Linked DNA regions of Caenorhabditis elegans. The protein of the gene in region 4 purifies or fractionates together with the protein of the main gene of each other region. This does not show direct contact. Each region holds a gene or a part of one and is shown on either strand. Other genes may lie near its edges. The genes, in order: ife-1, chdp-1, ppw-2 and pgl-3.

Evidence for each region.
Region 1: the proteins of pgl-3 (region 4) and ife-1 purify together in Caenorhabditis elegans (affinity purification with mass spectrometry, with the first as the bait; one large-scale study listed by BioGRID). This does not show direct contact.
Region 2: the proteins of pgl-3 (region 4) and chdp-1 purify together in Caenorhabditis elegans (affinity purification with mass spectrometry, with the first as the bait; one large-scale study listed by BioGRID). This does not show direct contact.
Region 3: the proteins of pgl-3 (region 4) and ppw-2 purify together in Caenorhabditis elegans (affinity purification with mass spectrometry, with the first as the bait; one large-scale study listed by BioGRID). This does not show direct contact.

Annotation. Positions count from the first base shown.
Region 1 is NC_003281.10:13,341,418-13,345,152, reverse strand, and holds ife-1 (eIF-4F 25 kDa subunit), read right to left. Parts: upstream 1,737-3,735; 5' UTR 1,546-1,736; coding exon 1,491-1,545; exon of another isoform or gene 1,441-1,490; intron 1,330-1,440; coding exon 864-1,329; intron 818-863; coding exon 643-817; 3' UTR 535-642; downstream 1-534. Other genes in the region: acaa-2 (3-ketoacyl-CoA thiolase, mitochondrial), read right to left, coding at 1-111, 182-194; dro-1 (Protein Dr1), read right to left, coding at 1,833-1,970, 2,053-2,469; nud-1 (Nuclear migration protein nudC), read right to left, coding at 2,614-3,472, 3,520-3,623. UniProt on the Caenorhabditis elegans protein: Recognizes and binds the 7-methylguanosine-containing mRNA cap during an early step in the initiation of protein synthesis and facilitates ribosome binding by inducing the unwinding of the mRNAs secondary structures.
Region 2 is NC_003279.8:6,283,070-6,289,857, reverse strand, and holds chdp-1 (Calponin homology domain-containing protein), read right to left. Parts: upstream 4,886-6,788; 5' UTR 4,851-4,885; coding exon 4,485-4,850; intron 4,171-4,484; exon of another isoform or gene 3,959-4,170; intron 3,511-3,958; exon of another isoform or gene 3,286-3,510; intron 3,195-3,285; coding exon 3,036-3,194; intron 2,823-3,035; coding exon 2,505-2,822; intron 2,432-2,504; coding exon 2,258-2,431; 3' UTR 2,091-2,257; intron 934-2,090; 3' UTR 520-933; downstream 1-519. Other genes in the region: C10G11.6 (Verprolin-like), read right to left, coding at 379-425.
Region 3 is NC_003279.8:5,158,011-5,164,225, forward strand, and holds ppw-2 (Piwi domain-containing protein), read right to left. Parts: upstream 4,223-6,215; 5' UTR 4,195-4,222; coding exon 4,006-4,194; intron 3,960-4,005; coding exon 3,769-3,959; intron 3,721-3,768; coding exon 3,552-3,720; intron 3,508-3,551; coding exon 3,102-3,507; intron 3,058-3,101; coding exon 2,334-3,057; intron 2,286-2,333; coding exon 2,110-2,285; intron 2,066-2,109; coding exon 1,897-2,065; intron 1,851-1,896; coding exon 1,676-1,850; intron 1,632-1,675; coding exon 1,389-1,631; intron 1,342-1,388; coding exon 974-1,341; intron 923-973; coding exon 805-922; 3' UTR 501-804; downstream 1-500. Other genes in the region: trf-2 (MATH domain-containing protein), read left to right, coding at 290-457; let-630 (Small ribosomal subunit protein mS39), read right to left, coding at 4,688-5,020, 5,073-5,201, 5,250-6,215.
Region 4 is NC_003283.11:4,754,070-4,759,123, reverse strand, and holds pgl-3 (Guanyl-specific ribonuclease pgl-3), read right to left. Parts: upstream 3,140-5,054; 5' UTR 3,115-3,139; coding exon 2,998-3,114; intron 2,952-2,997; coding exon 2,805-2,951; coding exon of another isoform or gene 2,801-2,804; intron 2,760-2,800; coding exon 2,401-2,759; intron 2,354-2,400; coding exon 2,013-2,353; intron 1,967-2,012; coding exon 1,824-1,966; intron 1,774-1,823; coding exon 1,602-1,773; intron 1,559-1,601; coding exon 1,176-1,558; intron 1,125-1,175; coding exon 705-1,124; 3' UTR 540-704; downstream 1-539. Other genes in the region: hil-4 (Histone H1.4), read right to left, coding at 3,824-4,306, 4,493-4,771. UniProt on the Caenorhabditis elegans protein: Guanyl-specific endoribonuclease which cleaves the phosphodiester bond in single-stranded RNA between the 3'-guanylic residue and the 5'-OH residue of adjacent nucleotide, resulting in the formation of a corresponding 2',3'-cyclic phosphate intermediate.

The DNA.
Region 1 (3,735 bases), on a different chromosome or scaffold from region 4:
GCTTCAGCGCTGCTTGAGAAGCGACGACTCCCAAATCAGTTGCACTCAATCCTTTCAGCTTTCCACCAAAAGTTCCGAATGCTGTACGCTTGGCACCGACGATGAACACACCTGCAGACATAATATAAACATCACTGATCACTTATTAGTACAACGACCATGGACTTTGACCCCCACTCACATTTTCCTGCCATTTTGCAGTGTATTTGTGTGGTTCTGTAAATAAAAACGTTCTTATAAGTAGTAACAAATTATTAGGAAGAGGTGAAAAAACCTAAAAAAAAGGGCATTTAGAAAACTGCATAATTATTTTGAGAGGGGCTTTTGAACAAAAATAAAGTTTTTCGGTTGTTTGTTGGGCCGATAAGATAGGTAGAGAAGAGACGCAGAGACGAAAAAGAAGCAGAATGGCCGACTTTCGCGGTGTCTTTTTTATCATCATTCCCGCTACTTGTTCTCTGACCTAAAGGCTACATTCTACACTACAATAAGATACAAAATTGGGCCTGGAAACCACAAGGCAATATAATACAATTAATTTTCATCAATTTTATTAAACCAATCACAAAACAACGAGTGAAATACTAGCCAAGCAACGGGTGTAATTAAAAAACAAGTAGAGCAGATACAAAATGGTCTGCTTTAGACGGCGGATTTCTCGGCGACTGGAGCATCGGACGAGTGCAATGAAAGCTTGGCTTTCACAACCGAGCTGGTCTTCTTCTGGCAGCTCTCATGATCTTCGTAGCGGATCACATCGAACAGTGGCTTTGAGTGGTCCTTGGATGCGGCCATCAGCTTCTCCTTCAGCACAACTCTGAAATTCCAAAATTCAAGATAGAATTAAAAATAGACATGCATACCCAATCCTCATGTTGGTTTCATCATCGTTGCAATCCTTAGTCCAGACGCTGATCTTCGATCCTTTTCCTCTGACGTTGCACACCAACCCACAAATCGACTCCATGTCCTTTCCGAATTGCTCGCCGACCAAAGCCATGAGAATCTCCAGCCAAATAGCATCGACCATTTCGGGAGTCTTTCCCTTGTCAATGACGATGAGCCAGCGTCCTCCGTTCGAGTTTTCCGGAACCTCCCACATCGGCTGAATATCGTCACGGAAAACGTTGTAATCGCACAACGCGTTGAGGCCACTTGGTGGACGGATAGCATCGTAGAGAGCCCAGAACTCCGAGACGGTGTTGAAGGTGTACACCTTCTTCAGACGATCCTCCCAAGACTTGTTGCGCTCATCGTTCAAATACCACCACGTCCAGTTACGCTTCAGCGGATAAATGGGTGCCGTCGTTTGCTCCGTTTCAGTCATACCTGGAAGAACTCGATTAGTAAAATCAGTAAACAGAGAGAATAAATGAATGCAAATAAAAATGGGCACGTGGAACCAAAAAAGTGATGCAAAACGGCGAGAAACAGTTTTTTTGTGAATAATTTATAGTACTCAAACGATAATGAAAAAGGGAATGGCTCACCTTCTTTCTCCCCAGAGATTTTCAGCTTCTCAAATGCTATTTCAGAATCTGACATTTGCGCTTAAAATTTTCGCACCTCGACAACTGGCAAGGCAAAAACAGGACTGATCTGAGAAGCCGAGAACAACTGGGGAAAACGCCAACTAATCGTGCCCTAAATGACGTGCCATTGAAATATGGAGCGGGTCAGTAAAAAAATTCACGGGGAAAATAGGAAATGGTGGAATATAGTACAACAATTTTAAAAAGAGATTTAGAAATTATCGATGATGAATCAAGGTAAATACACAAATGAAGAAATAAAATGAGAACCCGTAGAAAAAAAAAGCGAAGAAAAACAATCTAGTTGTCGTAGTCATCGTCGGTTGGAGCCAAAGAGCCCTCTGATGGTCCTCCAAACATTTGTGCGTTTGCGGCTGCTACCGCCGCGGCTTGTGCTTGTTGGTGAGCAAGCTGCTGCTCAATTTCTTGTTGGCGTGCCTGTAAAATAAATATTAACATTGAGGAAATGAGTGTTTGTTTTATAAAAACAAAATTATTTTTGAAAACCTCAAAAAATTACCTTCTGAATTAATTCTTGTTGCATTTCGTACAATTTTTCCTCTGGAATACCACATTTTTCAAGACGAGAGTTCTTCCTTCGCAGCTTCTTCTCGGCTTCAACCTTGCAGGCATCGAGAACACTGTCGGCGGCCTCGAGATAATCTGGTGTGAATCCTAAATTCTGCAGTGCCTTCTGAACATGTTCGTGATATATTGTTTTTCTCTGATCCTGGCTCGCAATTCGTTGTGCTTCTCTCGCAATATGCTTCACGAACTCAACGCAGCAAGCATTGATCATATCTCTCGACTCGTTGGCGATTCGCATTTCAGGAACAACTTCTTTGATAATTTGGTTGATACCTTTCTGTGGAAGTCCGATTTCATTGTCCTCATCCATATCTGTGAAGAGTCTGAAAATTGTGTTGAAGCACTGCATTTTTAAGGGATCTAAAAGAGATATAAGGAATGAGAAATACATTATTAAAAGTTTAAAGATGAAATAAAATTAATATCAAACTGAGTACATTTATGCGAATATAAATATAATATTTTCGGAACAAATCTCACAAAATTCACAGAATTATCCAATTTTAGCATTGCTGAAGTCCATTTCAGGATGCTGTTTCATGAACTGTTGCAGCATATCATGCTTTTTCTTCTCATCAGACGTTGGAAGACCCATCTCCTTCTGCCTCTGATCATACATCATCTTTTCGACCATGGCACGTGTCTCTCCATCCAAGTCGCTCAATTTCGAGTTCTCTGGCTTCACTTCCTTAGTATTGATTGGAGGATCGGAATCAAGGAATCGATTCCACCATTCCATATCATTGATCTTCTCGAGAGTTAGGACAATCGCTTTCCCGTTTTCGATTACCCAGTTGCAATTTTCTACTTTAATGGCGTGAGGCAACTTTCCATCGACAATCGGAGCTTGATTCTTCAGGCCGACAGATACTGAAGTCTTCTCTATTTTGACGACAACGTCACGAGATTTGATAGCAAATCCAGCAGCAATTGGAATCTTCACCTCGAGTTCTTGGAGTGTTTGAGTCCATTGATATTTGGCAAGATCCGCACCATTTCCACTATTTGGTTTCATGAGCTTACTGTCCTCATCTTCGACTTCAGCGTCTTTCGATGTTTCTCCTTCGTTATCGACGAATTTTTCAAGATTTTCAACAGAATTTTTAGCCTGTTCCTTTTCAAACGCGGCCGCTTCCTCATCAGTGACTTCCACGACTTTCGCATTTCGGAACTCTTCCTCTTCCTTAGCTTTTTGTGCAGCTCTTCGTTCAGCAAGCTTCCTCTCCTGCTCTTCCTTCCGTTTCTTGGCTTCTTCAGCTTCCTTCATAGCCTTTCCACCGTGTTTATCGAATTTTTCGAGGAGAAGGGTCCGGGCTTGATCGACACCAGCGCCACTGTAGAAATCCGTCTTTCTGAAACAAAACATGTATTTATTAAGCACTTTGAAAAAATTTCTTACCTCGAAAGAAATTCAAATAGTACATCAAGCATTTCAGGCACTCCGCCGCTCAGCTGTTGGGCCATGGAGAGCAGCACCGAGTCGAATCGCTCATATTGAGACATTTTCTGAAATTTAAATATATTAATTAATAAAAACTACTTCCAAAACGAAGAAAAACATTAGGAAATCCGGAATTATTGAAAATAGAGCCTAAAATCAAGAAACATAGTTATT
Region 2 (6,788 bases), on a different chromosome or scaffold from region 4:
CTTAAGACGCACACTATTTTTCATTTAACGAGAAATTGTCGTGCCGAGACCGAATACCGTGTTCTTGGCTCAAAAATCGCAAAATTTTGGGTCTACGATTAGAAACAATTGAAGGTCGCGACATGTAAAGCAATAATTTCAAAATTCTTTCGATTTTTGCGTATTTTATCTAAGATTTCTCGAGTTTTTTATGTCTTGAATTTAAACGTTAAGTTCTTAAAACAAAAAATATTTAATCTGATTCACAAAAAATTAGCGAAAGGAGGCTTGAAATATTTGAGATGCTTCAAAATTTCTATAAAACAACTGACAGTAAGATTACAATTCCTTGCGAAAAAAATTATTTTACTGTATTTAGAACTTTTTATAATTTCTTACCCTTCATGTCTCCATGATTCTTCTTTAATTGGTGTTGTTGAAAACATCTGAATATTTTAACTGTATTTAGAACTTTTTTAATTTAAAATAAATTTAGAACCAATGTTAACTCAAAAACAACATGCACAACGAAGAAGAATTGGTTGGTTCCATTATTTATTTCGAAAAATGAGAAAAAACTGAAGTTGAAAAAAGCGAGAGAATAGAGATTGAACTTTGGAAAAACAGGAAAAATCTCGAATCAATCAAGTGGAAAGGCTCATTTAATGAGCTTCACACTTTTGGAGGATGAAAAGCACAAAAAGAGAAAGCTGAGACAATAGTTATCAAAATACAAAAAAAGTTTGATGAATCGAGAGATTGGTGAAAAATAGACTTTTATAGATCAATTATCGATTATTAAAGTCTTATTAGGTGAGAAAATTGGTTGAAATGAAGAATGGTAAAACGATGAACAAAATTAGATTTTCTTTTAGAGAAAAGATTTTTTAAAAATTGATTGCTGCTGCCCGGCCGACATCGAAATGAAGATGATTGCTTTGATTGAAGATAGTGCTGAAATAATTAAATTTATTAGTTTTTTCTTGATATCCTCATTTCACAGATAATTGAATAATTGCATTCAACGGCACATTAAAAATAAGCGCAGAACCCCTTTCCGTTTCTCGTTAAATATCATCATCTGTCAATTGACCATTTTGGACCTTTTTTGTCAGCGAGCAGAAATTGATGACCAATTACTTCAAAAAAGGATATTTTCTGTGGCTGCTCGTGACTTTTTAGTATAAACAATTATATTCTCAAGGTCCTTCTCAGCTGCCCTTTTAGAATATAAACAGTTCAATCTACCACACCAGACACCCTACGAACCCCTCTCAACCACTTCTTCCGACTCAAATTACTTAGGATCGGTTGGTAAGGTTGACCTGTATGATGACGACAGGAAACAAGTCACGATGCAGTACGGACCATAGAAGAGACGGTAGACAATTTGAAAGGGTCACCGAGTCAAGGTCTTCTCGCTTTTTTTGTACAGGACTCGCCTCCGAAAATGTGAATGAGAGGTATAATCTGATCTACAGTCTCCAATTCCACGCCTATTTGGGATCCTCAAGCGAGAAGGAAACGGAAGACGAGAAATTTAAAAAAAAGTTTGGCGGAGGACAAATACATCATTCCAAGGATTCGGTAAAAAAAATCAATGTCCAAACTTTGATCCTATTGTTTTGTCTTCCGAGAGAATCTCAAGAAATTTACGCCTTTCAGTTAGAAATTTTCTAAAGAGTTTCTAGAACTAACTCAAGCGTTATAAAATTAAAATCAAGGTATGTCTACATAGAGAATGTTTGCACCTTTCTAATTATAGAAAGGCGGTCCTTTTGTGGTGCTCAGTGACCCATAATTGTCCATCGCTTCCTAATTATTGCCTCTCTCATTTGTACTATTTTCCCTCAATAGAGAAAATAGAAATGGGAGAGACTTGGCCCAGTTCCAAAAACAAAACCAACACTTGTCTTCTCATTAAGAGCACGCCGACCGATGGAATGTGAGCACACGCTTTGTAGAACGAGAAGTCCAATAGTACACTTTTCCACTTCCGCGCTACACTAAACGGTCCAAAACCGAGACCAAATAAGGACTCTTTATGCATATAAATCCGTTACTCAAACACACATCCCGCCAGACGGTCATCGTTTTTGTACTACACTTACTTTTGAGAGCACATTTCTTCTTTGAGCTATCATCATCGTTTCGAGGAAGAGACATTGAATATTTGGAATGAAGAGGCGGAGGAAACAGTTGAGATACCGGAACACGATAGTGGAAAAGAGAGATGCGGACTAGAAATTACAGAAAGATAAATACTTCTTCCAGATTTCTAATTTGCAGCGACGGCAGCCGGTGCACTAGTCTCTTGTTTCACTGCAACTGGCTCATCAGCGGTATCTGCAACTTCTCCGGTAGCTCCCTCTTCTTTTGCTTCTCCGGCTCCCTCCGCAGCTGCAGTCTCATCCTTTGGCTCTTCTACAGCAGCAGCAGCTTGCCGATTTCTCTGAAACAAGATAAATTAGCTATCAAAAATAAAAACAAAAGTTAATTGAAAATTAATCTAGAATATAACTCACTCTGAAGAATCCTAGGATTGTGGTCAACAATCCGCTCTTGACGACAGAGTTTGCAAGCTGAACAATGGTGTCAACATTGAATCCTTCCTTGTCAAACTTTTCCTTGGCCTGAACTCCGAGTTGCCAGAGAGTTTGGAAAACAGCTGTGTATCCAGCTTTTCCCTTTTCAAGAAGATCTTCGTTGGTTACTGGAGCAGCCTCGGTTCCAAGAGTCTTTTGAGCCCAAGCTCCGAAGGCATCAATGTTCTTCTTCTGAACTTCTTTCTGGGCTGCAGCATCGGCGTTTTCCTCAGCGGCAGCGACTTCAACTGCTCCTGGCTGTAAATTTTAATTTGTTTTCATGATTAAGATCCCTCACTTAATTAACTCATATAATAGATCTCAAAATATTTCCGAATTCCGATCAATGTCGGAACGGAAATACCGCTAATTGATAATGCACCTTCCGACCTATTTGCATATCACTTATCACATTTTATCATCATCATCATTACCCCATATATTCTTATCAGAAAAGTGAAATTAACATACCTCAAGAGCGTTGGCCAGCTTGGCGAGGACATCTCCATCTTTGAAGAATCCAATGAATTGGTTGCGAGTCGTGGCCTGATCTTTTCCCGGAATGGTCTTTCGCTCTCCTTCCTCTGGGATAGCTGTCTTCTGAACCCAGTCGATAACCTGGTAGTTGGCCTGAAAAATAAAACTTTAATGACCAAAATAAGAATCCGAAAAAAGAACGTTCCAATGTAATTTGTTTTCTCAGTGCAAAAAAGACGCAAATATCCAATACCAGTTCTTTCTGCTATAATCCCATGAGAGCACTCTCAATGTTGCAAGCCTCCATATAAGAGATCATTCTCATTCGTGCTGGACAAGAAAGACGGCAACCACTAAAACAGAAGTGCGTTTGCATCAGAATTAAGAAACAAAGAAAGGAGGAGCAGAGCAGCAGCGCGGTTCAACCAATGAGTTCCTTTTTTTTTGGGAAAGAAGATGCAAAAAGGACGAATTCATCTTGTGTACCAACAAAAAATGGCTGTCGAACTGAACCAGCAATTGTTCAGGATTAATGTCTAGGGAAATTGACCCAATTTTTTGTATAGCTTCTAAACTTTCTTCTCTCAAAATTCCTGCGAAATTCAGACTTTAAAAGAGATTTCATACATGCTAATCTTTGTGAATCTCATTGTATAAAACAGATGTTTCGAAATTATGATGAAATATAAATACTTTTCGTCATGTATTTTTGTTTCCGTTTCCATGGGGATTATTTTTGTGAGTATTCAAAATTTAAAGTCGAATCACACATCTTTTTATTTCTAATTCGTGTAAATATCCTGGTCACCAGACAACATCGATTTTATAACTTTTACGAACGTCTGTCAATTTCTAGGATATCTACAATATCTGCCTCTCATTATCCTAAAGAGTTACGCAATAGCGAATCCGGTGCGCGCGCACACACAGTTAGTTACATTACAACACCATTCTACGGGGTCTGCAGCAATACGAGCGTCGGAACGAGGAAAGATTGGCACAGCTGCCCTTTTACAGAGTGCCGACGCACATCGCCAATCTCGCCGGCGCGATCAAACAAAAAACCTTGCAAATACCAATGAGCGATACATTGCAAATGTTGATGAATAGACTTAATGAACTTGTGAAGGAGTAGGGGAAAATGCACTTGTTCCAAACTTTTTTGTGAGCTCAGGATCAAATTTCAGATAGGTTCTTGTTAGTTAAAAGTACTTATGCATCGTTTTGGCCAATTCCTAGAAATTTTTAGGCATTCCAATGAATTCACCTATGATTCTTAAAAAATCGAACTGCGGTAATTTGAATTCAAAGGTAACTGGTGAGAATGGGGGCTAATCGGAAACAGCTGTTATGCTAGGGTGAATACTAAACCTGCGTTTCGGTTGCTCTAGCGAGAATACCATCTGCCCTGAATCGTTTTAGTTATTTTGAAAGTATTCTTACCTTGTGAACAGCCTGTGGAATCTGTTGAGCAATCCATCCGAGAACGTCTTCCTTTGGATCCTTTGGTGCTTCTGGCTCTTTTGGAGTGGATGCTTCCGCATCACGGTGCTTTCCCCATCTCTTGTTGAAAGTGAAACGCCGAGCAACACCTCCAGACTTCTTTTTCTCTTCTGGAGCTGCAGCAGCAGCGGTGGCAGTTTCTCCTTCTGCAGCAGCTGGGGCAGCAATCTCAGCGACAGCTTCTTCTACTTTTGGTGCTTCTTCAGTAACTGGTGCTGGAACATCGACTGGTGGTTCGGTGGTTGGAACCTTTGGAGCCTTGTCTTGCTCGGCGACCTCCTCGATCTTCTTGATTTCCTCAGACATAGTTGATGTGTTGGTTAGTGACGAGAGAACTGAGACTGAAAGAAACTCATTAATTTTCGAGGTATTCGGAGAAACAAAGAGCTAAAAATGGAGAAAAAATACGAGAGAAATAGACGAGTTGGAGAGGAGAATAAGAAAAATGAGAAAATGGAATGGGGAAAAACAGAAGACTACCATGAAAGTCAACTCAATTACGGGGGTAATCGAATAGAGTCTCCAGTAGCGAGCCGCTAGTAAGCCGGGGTAGCACATTTTGGTAGGCAAAAGACAAAACCGGAATGAGCAAAAGCTTCTCTCTCGCTTGGACACTAATTGCACCCGTCTCTGTCGAGGACTCATTTTCTATTCTAGAACCGTCTCCAAGAATGGGGTTTTAGTGGATATAGATGAGAAGAACAAAAAAAGACGAAGAACTCAAGTGAGACAATGTAAAAAGAAAGAGAAGACGATGTTATAGTAGGGACAATAATGTAAGACTGATTGTGTGAAGAGACTAGATGGTACGCGGAACGCTGAACGCTGCGGGGGCTAGAACAGTCAATCGATGCTCAAATTGCGGGAAAAGGTCATGAAGAGAAAATGCGCGTTTAGGTTATGATTTAAAAAGAAGAACTAGTCATATGCGACTTGAATTGAATCGAAGAATAATGCTAACGAGATAAGAAGCGCTCACTTTTCCTGGAAAACATTCGTCTGGACGAAAAAAGGCAATAAATGTAGGAAGGTAGAGTACTAGAAGGCTTAAGAAAAGAAACCAAAAGAGCCTTTCACTATTCTGGAATAACCGGTTCTTACTCAGCAGGTGAGGTGGCGAAAAAGGGTCATTCAATCTCCTTTTTTCCTCTATTCACATTCATTTCATAACGACAATAAGTGTGTCAAAAAGACTATTCAGACGAGAGAAAGAGACGGTATGAGATGAGAGGCGAGGGTCCACTAACACCATTTACCTTTTTGAATGGTCTACCTCCGTGTCATTTGATATATCGAACCGCCGCCCGCCCCCTATTTGCTCTCGATTCTGATTCAGTCGTTGCTGTTCTCACCTACACTAAATTTAAAAATGAAGCAAATAGAAGTGAAATGAACAGAAGTCCGAACTTCAGAGCATGAGTCATTCATGATTTCGAAATGAGAAACATAGGAAACATAGATTACGAAATCGAGAAAAAGGCGGAGTCAAAAAGAGAACAAGAAATGTCCAGAAAAGACGAATGGAATGGATGTGGGCGACGAAATGAATGAATATGAGAGCAGGGGTATTGCACACATTTTGCAGTGAAAAAGAGGACAAGGCCAGTGGTCCAATCGTCAACCATTACCAGCACCATCACCACACCACCCAACCGCAATGATGCACACAGTGGCAGCAGCCACCGAAACGTCCCTTTCCATTGCGGCAGCAGCAGCGGCAAATGTGTCCCTCTCCCGTCTCTCATAGCGGACGGAAAATTTGGGCGGAGTCTACTGACTTGTGGGGCGGGTGTCCGCGCTGGATGGATGTTTGCGTGTGCTGCTTGAGTGATGAAATTGAAAACAGATAATTTTTGAAGGTTCACAATCGAATGTAACCATGACAACCAAAATTACTGGGTATTTGAGAGTTGAAAGCATTGCATCGAGTTCATACCAATAAAAAGGTTGAAGAATTATTTAGCGCTATTTTATCGGATGATAGAACGGAATTATCTAAAGCGGAAACAATTAGTACGGTAATAACTGATAAAAGCGGTGCAATGCTCAATGTTCATGGCGGTTAGGAAAACTGATAATGCTCTGATAATCATTATCATTTTACACTTCCCGAAAGGGCCTAGCAATAGATACTTTCTGCAGATACTGAAAACATGAAAAGGATTCTGATTTATTTTGTCGATTTTTGTGACTGATTGGAAAATGACACATTTATTGCGCTAGTCAGAAGCTTTTACGAATTTT
Region 3 (6,215 bases), on a different chromosome or scaffold from region 4:
TAGAAAAATGATGATAAATATACAAAATATGAGAAAAACTCAATTTTTAGTTGTTTTTACTTTTTATATCAGCGCTTTTATTTTTGAACCAAAATCAAAAATCTTTTTTTCTCCTCCTTTCCCCCAATTAGCTTTACAATTGATACCTAATTTCAAAATATGAAATCGATTTTAAACCCACAAAAACCGAAGGAAATCATTTTTCAGTGGTAAAATTTTCCAACGCTCACGAGAAACGCGCAAGCCCCCTTGTTGGGTCATTTCCACGTGAGGAGGCTGTGTACTTCAGAACTTTCTTCCGTTGGCAAAAGTAACCGAATTCGCTGCTGATGGTGACATCTTTATCCAAATAAAGGTCTTATTGAGCAAGGAGAAACAAAAAACCCAAGCTAAAGAAGTCGATTCGTCTGAGTGTCAGTCCGAGATGGTCGGATCATCGAAAGCGAAAAGTGAATGAAGTTTTCCAGTGAATAAATGATTCCAATTGTTAGATGCAGTTTGGATTTTAAAATTTTATTGTCTCCGGGAGACCATAACAAAAGCATTACATGCTCAACTTAACAAAACAACAATGGCTATAACCTATGAACGACTTGTAATCATTGCCGAAGATTGACAAGCTGCACGTAGGATGAGCCAGAACAATGGGGAACAGAGGGCGGGGGGAATAAAACAATTATTGAACAATTATGTACCACTTAGATAAGATATAGCATTAAAGACATAGTGGGATACAAATAAAAAAATTGATACAAAAGATGAGTTGGATTAAAAAATGGTACAACTTGATCTTCGGGTGAGTGCTTAAGCATTGACACGGCGGTCGATCATGTCGCCGGAGCCCATATAGCTGATGCCATCGGTCATTTTCTTCAAACGAGCTGATTCTGGTCCAGTAACCTCGGGAATTTCATTAGCATTGCTGAAAAGGCATAGTCATAAATGCTTGAATCGAAAAAATCTGAAAACTCACATGGCTTCATTCCACAAATTACGCCCTCTCTTCGCGTATTCATTTGCAACATACAGTGGCGTTGGAATCGACGTGGGAAGTCCGACAATTTGATGGAGGTGACACAGATTGAAGGTGAATTCTTCCAATGCCGACATACCAATATTACGATCATCAGCAAGAACAGTATAGAGCGGGGTCTTTGCCGATCCCTGAAGAGTCATGTGCGAGTTCAAGAAGAACTGCTTGCATGCTGGGTTGGTAACACCATAATCAACGGTAAGTCCTGGACCAATATTGAGCTCCCATGGTTTTGGCGGTGCCGAAGTCAATGTGCCAGAATTGCTTGCGCCAGCGCTGTTAGATCCACCGCTGGAAGATCCACCAGACTGAAATAATAATCAACATTAAACGTCAAGACTTCTTGCCCACTCACCTCTTTCTTGAAGAATCTATAGGTGTGCTCCTTCGAGACCACGATATAAAGCAATTGAGTGTCCGGCGAAAAGTTTCTCATGGCAACACGAGCAAGAGGAACTTCATAGGAGATGATTGGTCCGTGATTTCCTTCGCTGGAGCCACTTCGGTAGATTGTGATGCGCTTTGGCGCTTTGCCATCGTGGAACTTCTTATATCCTTTGATTGAATAGGAGACGATATCCTCAATTGGTGCAATGGTCTGAAAGCTCAACATGAATAAAATAGTATGACTGAAAAACGCACTTCTTGACCAGCAGCGTTCAATACGAAATCTCCACTAAACTCCTGCTTCCCATTTCCATTGTATGCGAAACCCACAATAGTCGGATTGAGAATTCCTCTGCTTTCCATGATGTACTTGGTCCCAGGTGGTGGGCTGGAGATACCAACGCCGATGATCAGATGCTCTTGAAGGAAGCTGAAATTTTGTACATGGATAAACAATTGAACGCGTAATAATATACTTCTTCGTATCGAGGTAAACGTAGTTGGACCCTCCTAGTTTCACGTTGGTCTTGTTAATAACGTTCTCCAATGTTAGTTTCTTTGATGCGTTGACGACGCTCAAAGCCTTGGACAACTTCATATCCTGAACAATCATCTGAGTATGATGCTCGATGAACTTGTATTTTTCTGTAACAAACAAAACTTATTGAGAAGAGCCAATTATGACATACGATGCAAGCAAGTGATATTGTCTTCAGTGATGCACAGAACAAAAGTGCATCCAGCATTCGCAGCCTCACGCAAACGATTTTCGATAGCATCAGGGGTGAGAAGATTGACGTCTCCAGGTGGCGGAAACAGAATTCCTTTCGAACGACTCATATTCATGAACTCGTCACAAAAACGTCTGAAAAATCAGAAAAAACCAATCAATTTTAAGTAGAGTAAGACTAACCTCATAACGTCGCGATTCATTTGTGATCCCGGCGACCCCACGCCGTACAACGCCCATACTTTCGGAGCCACAGCTGAACGGTTGTAGCGTTGTGGGCGCCATTTGCAATCTCTTGGATTGATGAGATGTTCACCCGTTTCAAATGAAGCCAACCTAATGGCCGGGAGGTTTCGCCCTTTCACCACAAGAGGCTCATCGCAAACAGTCACTCCCATTTTACCGAGCACCTCGTTTTCAGCTGTGATCTTCGCTGCAATCTTTCCCGTCATGATCAAACGTTGGCGAATGTCTGGCAACACTGCACTTTCTTTTGTGGTTCGTTGACTTTGAGAACTTGTTTGCTGAGTGATTCTAACACGTTGATTTGGACTGATAGTAATCAACTCCATGGGATAGAAGTTGAGAGCTCCTCTTTCCTTACAAACGATGAGATTGGCGTTCGGATAGCGAAGTTGAATCTTATATTTATCCTTGAAGTAGGTGGCAACGGTACAAGTACCACCACCTTCGAGCTCGAATCTGGCAGTTGCGGCTCCTTCGTGATGAATGCTTTCAATTTTGTGATGACGTGTGCGTCCTCTATAGTTTGAATGACAGTCAAGTCCTTTGATGACAGCTGCACATCGTTCTCTTTCGGATCCAGTGATTCCGTTAGCCAGATTGGATGTGATCGATGACAATTTTTGGAAAACGAGTTGCTCCATATGGAATGCCACCTTCATTCCTGAAGATTGAAATATACTTGTCTATTTTGAGCTAAAAACTAACCGTCAATGACAATCGATGGGTTATTCTGGTTACGTCCGTATGGACCCTCAATGAATTGGAGGGTTTTCTTGAGACCCGGTTTCATTTGTTTCCCATCTCCAACTTCCACAATGTCGCATGGAGCGTACCCTTCTTGCAATGGATTAATGAAAAACATCTTTCCGTGCTCGAACACTACACATTTGGAGGTTTCGCGAATTGCGTACTGACTCATAGCGAGATCGAGAATCTGCTTATAAGCCATATTGACAGACTCGATGTTAGAATCCGATGTACGTCTTCCAATATCTTCCAGGGAGAAATTCACGACTGGGTTCTTGGTAGGAAAAACTTCCAGTTTGATACACGGCAGCACCATTAGGTCTTTCAAGTTGGTGTCCGCACCGTTAATTTGAAACACTTTTGTCTGAAATTAGGAATGCATCGAAAGTACAAATAAAATCTCGATACCTTAATTTTTCCAGTTGGAATTCCTTCAAAAAGATTCATGCTGGTGAAGAGAATGCTCTGTCCATCGTAGATGATGCAGTTCTCAGACGACTTGAAAAAGTCCTCAAAGCGGTTCAATGCGTGGAACAGAATAGCACTGCACTTCTCATGGCGGTCATGAACAATGAAGCTGAAATTGAATGCATAGGAAATTTGAATTCGATCATCAATATCTTACTCTTCTTTTCCTTTTTTAGTGAAAGTTACTTCTTTCTTCGATGAAAGTTCAGCAGTGATGTGCACACTGTATTGATAAAAGTTGGAAGTTTTATGTACTTCGACTCCAAACACATTTGTCAGGACTTCAGTCACGCTACCGAAAGTTCCAGGTTCGGTTGGAGAAGGATAGATCTTCGGATCCGGCGGAATCTAAAATATCATATTTATTCTAAGCAATAACGAGAACCGATCTCACCTCAAGCTGTTCGAGTCGCTTAATACACGCATCGTGAGCAGTTTTGTGTTCCGAGGTGACAGGAAGAGTCGGAACCGGAACCGGTGGGACTGGTGGTGGTGGATGAAGTCCTGGCGGAGCGGTGACCGGTGGAAAACCAACTGGTGGCACTGGTGGCATTGTTACCGGTGGAACCGGTGTAGCAGGCATTGTGAATGTTGTTAGTGAATACTACCTGAAATCGGAGAACGATTGCATTATGAACAATATCTTAAAATTTACGAATAACGTGTTGGAAAAAAATTGAATAAGTTTATGCAACTTTTCGGGATACATGCATTCTCTAAATCTTATAACTTATAACTTGAAAAAAGAACTATTGAAACACGTTTTTGTTAGATACTTGAAAAATATGAAGATTTCAACAAGAAATACTGAAAAATCGTGCACGGAAATGAATATTTTGGGACAGTAGGTAACATTTTTTGAAGTAGTGCGAATAGCTACCGTATACCTTAGACAGCGTTGCGAGACCCACTCAGATGAAAACTCGATGCGCCTTTAATTTCAAATTGAACGACCTTTGAAAAAAAAACATGTTGAACAAATTTTTAAATAAGTTTTATTATGGGAGACATTTTGAAAGCAAAACAAAACAAAAACAAAATAACTTTACAACTATCCTAGGCTAAACGAAATAAAATTATTGTGGGCGAAGACGAATGAATCCTTGAATAATTCGAACTTGCTCTTGATTCACATTACATTTCTCGAAAATGCGATTGGCGAGAGGCTCAAGTTTTGCACGGTTGGCGGTCAACGACATAATTTGCAGGCAAGTCGCTGCAGCATATGTATCACGTTTTCTAAGAGCATCTTCGAACAATTCTGCCATTGCCCATGGCCTAGCATGTCCACGTGGATAAACAGTCGCTTCGTCCCCACTGCTTGCAGTTTCATCAAGCAGTAGATCTAACAGTTCGTAAGCTTTCTGCTGTTCTCCGATTCTGGTCAAGAGCAAAGCACATTCTGAGATCTGCAAAATTTGAGAAATATACGACTTATGGTTTGAAAAATAATATTAAAACCTGGCTAGGCGACAGTTTCCTTTGGAGCCTTCTCATTCTCTCTTCTGTGAATTGGCTGAACTCAACCCAAACTGCAACCAATTTTTGGACAAGAGATGTGAATTGCTCCCGTTCACTAGTTCCCAATGTCTGAAAAAAACTTGTAAAAAACACAAGATATTTGGAAATAAAACTTACATGTAGTTGTACATTACACAACTGTTTGCGCATTTCTTCTCCAATAACTCCATTCATCTGTCCAGCTGCAATACCGTCGATGATTACTCTCCGTAACAGTGGCCAATGACGATCGGAGGATGCAGCGAGTTTTCGAAAAACTAGTGATGACAGATAATTGTTGACTCCAACAAGTCGTGGTACCATGGTGGTGTACAAATCATAAATTCTGTTCAGTGAAGCACTTTGTTCCACAGCCAATTGTAATTGTCTATTATAGAACATTGATTCAATTGTGAATGCTGGCATCTTTACTTCGTTTGCTTTGGATTCATAAATTGAAACAAGATTTTCTGCGAGGTTCTCATTTGCAGCTCTGTAATGGATTCCCATTGCTTCGACGAAGAAAAGATTACAAGTGGATGTAATCGGCTTGAGAGTTTTTCCAGTAAGGCTATTCTGAATTTCATTGAGCCAAGATATAGCCACGGTGAGCTGGTGATTATAGGTCTTCTTTTGCTCGTCACTCTCTCGTTTTTCATTATCCAATAATTTAAAATCTATGATGTTTTTGATAATTAAATGAAAAGATGACAGTGCTGGTTCAACTCCAATCTCTTTCATTTCTCCAATAATTTCAGTGAACGCCTTCACACGATCTTCAAACTTTCCAGCTTTTGCAGCAGACGACAGTAATGCATTGAACGTGAAAATATCGGGTGTCATTCTGAGGGAAATCATTTCAGCTACCAATTTCTTCCCGACACTGTAGCTTGAAGCGCCAATTAATCCATTGAACGCTTCTCGGTAAACTTTTCCTTTTGCAGCTCGATGCTCCTTGTACAATTCTCTAGCTCTTTCCAAACTAGAATGATCAGAAAACTTGCATAGACCAGCAATCATTATAGAAACGGTTTCATCAGTTTTTGGGAGAGTTTCGAAAAGAAGATCAGCGACTGCACCCGATTTCCATGAGGATGTAGAATC
Region 4 (5,054 bases):
CCCGTAAATCGACACAAGCGCTACAGTAGTCATTTAAGGAAATACTGTAGTTTTCGCTACGAGATATTTTGCGCGTCAAATGTGTTGCGAAAATACGCTTTCTCGTAATTTTGTGTTCCCGTAATAACTTTCAACAGATTAATTGGAAAAAAAACTAGAAATGTAATGACGTCTTTGATTTTTCCATCGGAAAGTGTAAGTCTTAAAGCAACGAAAGTTTGAGACTACAGTAATCCTTAAAGGCGCGCACCTTTTCACAATCAATGAAAGTTTATCGTTTCGAGACCGAGCACCATATTTATTTCGGAAAGGCGTTTTAATCATTGCAAATTGTTTCCTCATCAAACTAAATATGTACATTCGGTAGGCTGCACCATCCTAGAACGGTAGCTACCGTACCTTTAATTCGATCAGCAATTCCTTGATATCACACACGAATTGTCCAGATTAGAGACACCACGACTATTTACAATGATGACATCACTAATTATCCCACGCATTACTTTTAAGTCTGAAAGCGAAATTCATCTGATTCCTATAGAAGTACAAACATTTACTTGGATCACAATAAAACGGGGTTCAATAAATAAAACATGATTTGGGAAATTTTACATCATTTAGAAAAAAGAGAACCTAAAACTTGTGAATACGTAATCAGTACATATTCAAAATATACAACCAATAAAACGTTGAAATTTGAAGGCTTAGGAACCTCCACGGGATCCACCAAAGAATCCGGCACGTCCTCCCTGGTAACCACGAGATCCTTCGCCGTAACTTCCGCGTCCTCCTCGATCACCACCACGATATCCACGAGATCCATCTCCGGAACCTCCACGTCCACGATCGCCACCGTATGCTCCTCTTCCTCCACGATCGCCACCGCGACCACCTCCATAAGAGCCTCTTCCAGACGTTCCGTTGCTGCTGGCAAACTGTCCGAATCCCGAAGCGACTGGCGCAGCGCCGAACCCACTAACTTTGTATTCGTTAACCGGAGTAGCAAGAGGCACTGGAGTCGCATCGCCTGATCCCCATGCGGTTCCAGTTCGTTCTTGTGGTTGCGGAGAAACCTTGGTGATCGTTGTATCTTCTTCTTGTTCTTCCTCCAAAGTCGAGATCTTCTGAAAATCGGTTATTATATTAAATACAAAATAAATTTAAAAAATTGTTACCGGTGGCAGAGCAACAGATTTTGTCGGAGAATCCCAACCATCGCTAGAAAATTGAACAGGTGAGGCAGTTGATGGAGTATTGTCATTCTTCTCCGCATTTAGTTTCTCCGGAATGACATCATGGGCAGCCACGGTAACACTTTCTCCGATGATCTTTGCAGAATTGAGCACATTCGCCAAGTCTGTTCCTTCACATGGAATCGTTTGACGACTGAATGGCATCTTTTCAACAGTTACTACTTGAGCTGCAGTAGAGACGGTGGTCGGTCCATTGGAAGTTGTGGTCTGTTTTGCAGTTGCAGAAGGTTCCGACGAACTGCTCTTCTCCAGAGATTCAATGATACGATTCACGTGATCTTTAGAATCCAGTCCTTGGGCGAACTCTGTAAAATTTATTCGATTAAAATAAGAAGCCTTTTTGCTTACTTTTGAAGCTATCAACAAGAAGATTCTTGGATTTTGGGCTTAGGAATTGAAGCTGATTGAGTGATTTCTTCTCACTCTCCGATCCGTAGAACTCTGTGATCCACAATGCAAATTGGAGAGCATTATTCACATTCTCGATGACAGTTTCGTTGTTCAACTCGCTTTGAGGGAGCTGAAAAAGGAAAATATTGATTATAAGTTCACGTGAAGGAATAATTTTACCAGTGGGATTGGTTGAGAAAAGCACTGCTCGAGAACAGAGATTCTGAACTTTTTCAGCAATTCAGCGATTGCTCTTCTTCTCCACGTGCTCTCCAAGTCTTCAGCGAGGCCAACAAACGCCCAATCCTCGAATGACTTCATGGCTGAAAAAGAAACTGTTCAAAGAAGTTTGCAATCTTTGTAACTAACATCCCAAAAAGACTTGAATGATATGGCTTGCGAGGAACACGGCACTTTTGAAAACACTCCGTTGCAATCCGGGAAACACTTCCGCTCGGACACTCGACGGCATCAACGATTGGATTGTCCTGGAAGCATCACGCTTTCCATCAGCAAGTGAGCGAACGACGAGGAAAATCAATTGATATCCTAGCTGAGATTTCAGGACGAGTGATTCATCATCCTCGACGGCGCTGGCTTCTTCGAAGCGAGCAACGATGTGGGATACAGCTTTTTCGATAGATTCTTCTTGTGGAGTTAACAGAAGTTGGGTGAATGGGTCCACAGAATCAATCTTCGGTCCCTCGATCCTGAAAAACACTCCTGAGACACACAACATTAAATCATGATAACCTACATCAGCTTCTTCAACAACGGCTTGCAGGCCTCAAACGCATCTGTGACGTTGTCACGGATGATTTCAATTTCTTCCTGGAGCTCCTCCGATGCAAATCCAAGCAGTTTTGCCAAGACATAGACGTCGAAATCAAGATCCAAGGCGCTCGACAGTTCCGAGAGCTCGACAAACTTCTCTTCCGCTTCTTCCGCACCGAGAACTTTGAGCAAGACTTGCAGAATCTTGGCGTCATTCGACTTCTTTAGCTTTGTTTTTCGGGCGAGCATCGAGATTTTCTTTTCATCATCGATGATTGGAGCCAAATCATGAGCTTGTCCAAGCTGACTCAGCTTCTCAGCGCCAGAATCGAACTTTGGTCGCTGAAATGAATTATTAATACAAGAACATTTCGGAATTAAACCAACGAAGTCATCCCCGAGAATAAGGCAAACGTCCATGCCAGCAGCAAGCACGTAGGCACTGGAGTCATTTGGCAGGATCATCTCCGCAATTTCTTCATTGCTTGGGCGTTTGTCGGTGGCTCCCAAGACGAAAGCTGCAAGCTTGTTCGCCTGTAAGAAGAATATTTAACAAAAATCCCAATAGTTACAGTCAAACCTGTGCTATGTTGTTGACCAACAGCTCGTCATTGCTCGCGAGGTAATGGGCGAGATGGGGGAAAAAGTAGGACTTAATCCCATCGACCTCCACAATTTGTCGTTTGTTTGCTTCCATGTGAACTTTTTAATCACGAATAACACTGAAATTTTACGTGTAAAATGTTTAAATTCACCAAATGATGATTGAAAATAAGAAACTTCGAGCAAAAACACACAAAAAACTTTTTAAAAAAATTGACTTCTAAATCATCGAAAAGTTCGTGGAGGCTTTTCCAGTCGGGACCCATCGCGTGGGAAAAGGCGTGCGCCTTTAAAAATTAAATCAGTTTTTCAAAAAAAAATCTAGAAAGTTCTCTGAAAGTACTTTTCATTACCGAATTCGAAATATTGCGAGTAAATTTAAACAGAATTTGTTGCTTTATTTGAAAAAAGATCTGAATATTGCAAAAATTGCAAGTTAAGCCGATAAGTTGTGTATTTTAAGAAATCGAGCTTGATCAGTCGAATGAACTTGATATACAATTTTTCCAGAAGGAAAACAACAAAAATTTCCAAACGGTGAAGAAGACTGTCTGCTAGATGTTCCGGGACTTTATCTATCTTTTCCCGCTGTGAACACTGTTCCGAAAATCTGAAAGGTTTTGAAAAGACGAGAAAACGCTGAAACTTTATGCAGTAATTGGTTCATTGATAGGAATTGGTTTGTCAAAGGAACAATAAATAATGATTAGATGCAAAAAAACCAGTATCTGGGACACCTACAAGAGGGAGAGATATAATACAATGGTGAGATCGAAATTAATTTGATTATTCACACAATGTGATTAGGCCTCTGGGGCGGCGGCGGGAGCTTTCTTGGCTGGCTTGGCAGCGGCCTTCTTTGGAGCGGCTTTCATGGATGAAGACTTGGCGATCTTCTTGACTGGAGACTTGGTGACCTTGTTGACTGGAGACTTGGCGATCTTCTTCGGCGACTTGACCTTCTTCACCTTGACTTCAGTCTTCTTGGCCTTGTCTCCAGCGGCGGCCTTCTTGGCGACGGTCGTCGTAGCCTTCTTCTCTCCAGTGGCGGCCTTCTTGGCGACGGTCGTCGTAGCCTTCTTCTCTCCAGTGGCGGCCTTCTTGGCGACGGTCGTCGTAGCCTTCTTCTCTCCAGTGGCGTCCTTCTTTGCTGCAGCTGGCGACTTGGCCACGGAGGCTGTCTTCTCGGCAAGACGGAACCGTCCGTTGGCTCCATTTCCGCTAGCCTGGACGAAGGCGTTACTTTCAAGCCCCTTGTTAAGAGCTTTGCGGAGGTGAGCGTTGATCTGAAAGAAAGGTAAATTTAGGGAACGTCATCTCTACATAGTTTTTTTTCTGCTTTTCTGTTCGGCAATTTATTATTTTAAGAATTTTTAGGTTAAAAATGAAGTTATTGTAATCAAAAACCTGGTCAAAATTTTTCAGAAAAATTGATTTGAATTTAGCTTTTCTGCTTTAAATAAAACACATACCTTGTTAGCCTGATCTCCAAGCGTGTATTTTGTAGTGATATACTTGAGAATTGCGGCTCTGGAAGGTCCTTTGCGGTCCTTGATGCTGCTGATGGCTTCGGTGACCATATTGATGAATGGTGGATGGGCGGCATCGGCCTTGACCATTGGCACCTTGGTAGTCTTGGCCTTCGTAGCTTTTGAAGCCTTCGTAGCTTTTGAAGCCTTCGTAGCTTTTGAAGCTTTCGTTGGGGCTGCTGGAGTTTCGGTGGTGTCGGCGGCAACGGCGACGTCAGACATTGTTGAACGGATGAGTAGTGGTCACTTGGAGAGTGAGTGTGAGAAATGAGCGCGCGCCATCCTTATATACTCGCGCTCTACCACCCTGTCGGGACACATCTTGTTTGGCGCCGAATGCGAAATGGCGCGAAACTTGAGGGCACTTGACTAAATCACGCATAACTTTCTCGGTTCTTTATGAAATTGAATTTTCTTTTCAGAATCTTAAAGATGAATAGTTTAGCAACAAATTAAGCCAACAATCGATAGAAATTACTCTCGAATTGATATAAATACAGGCATT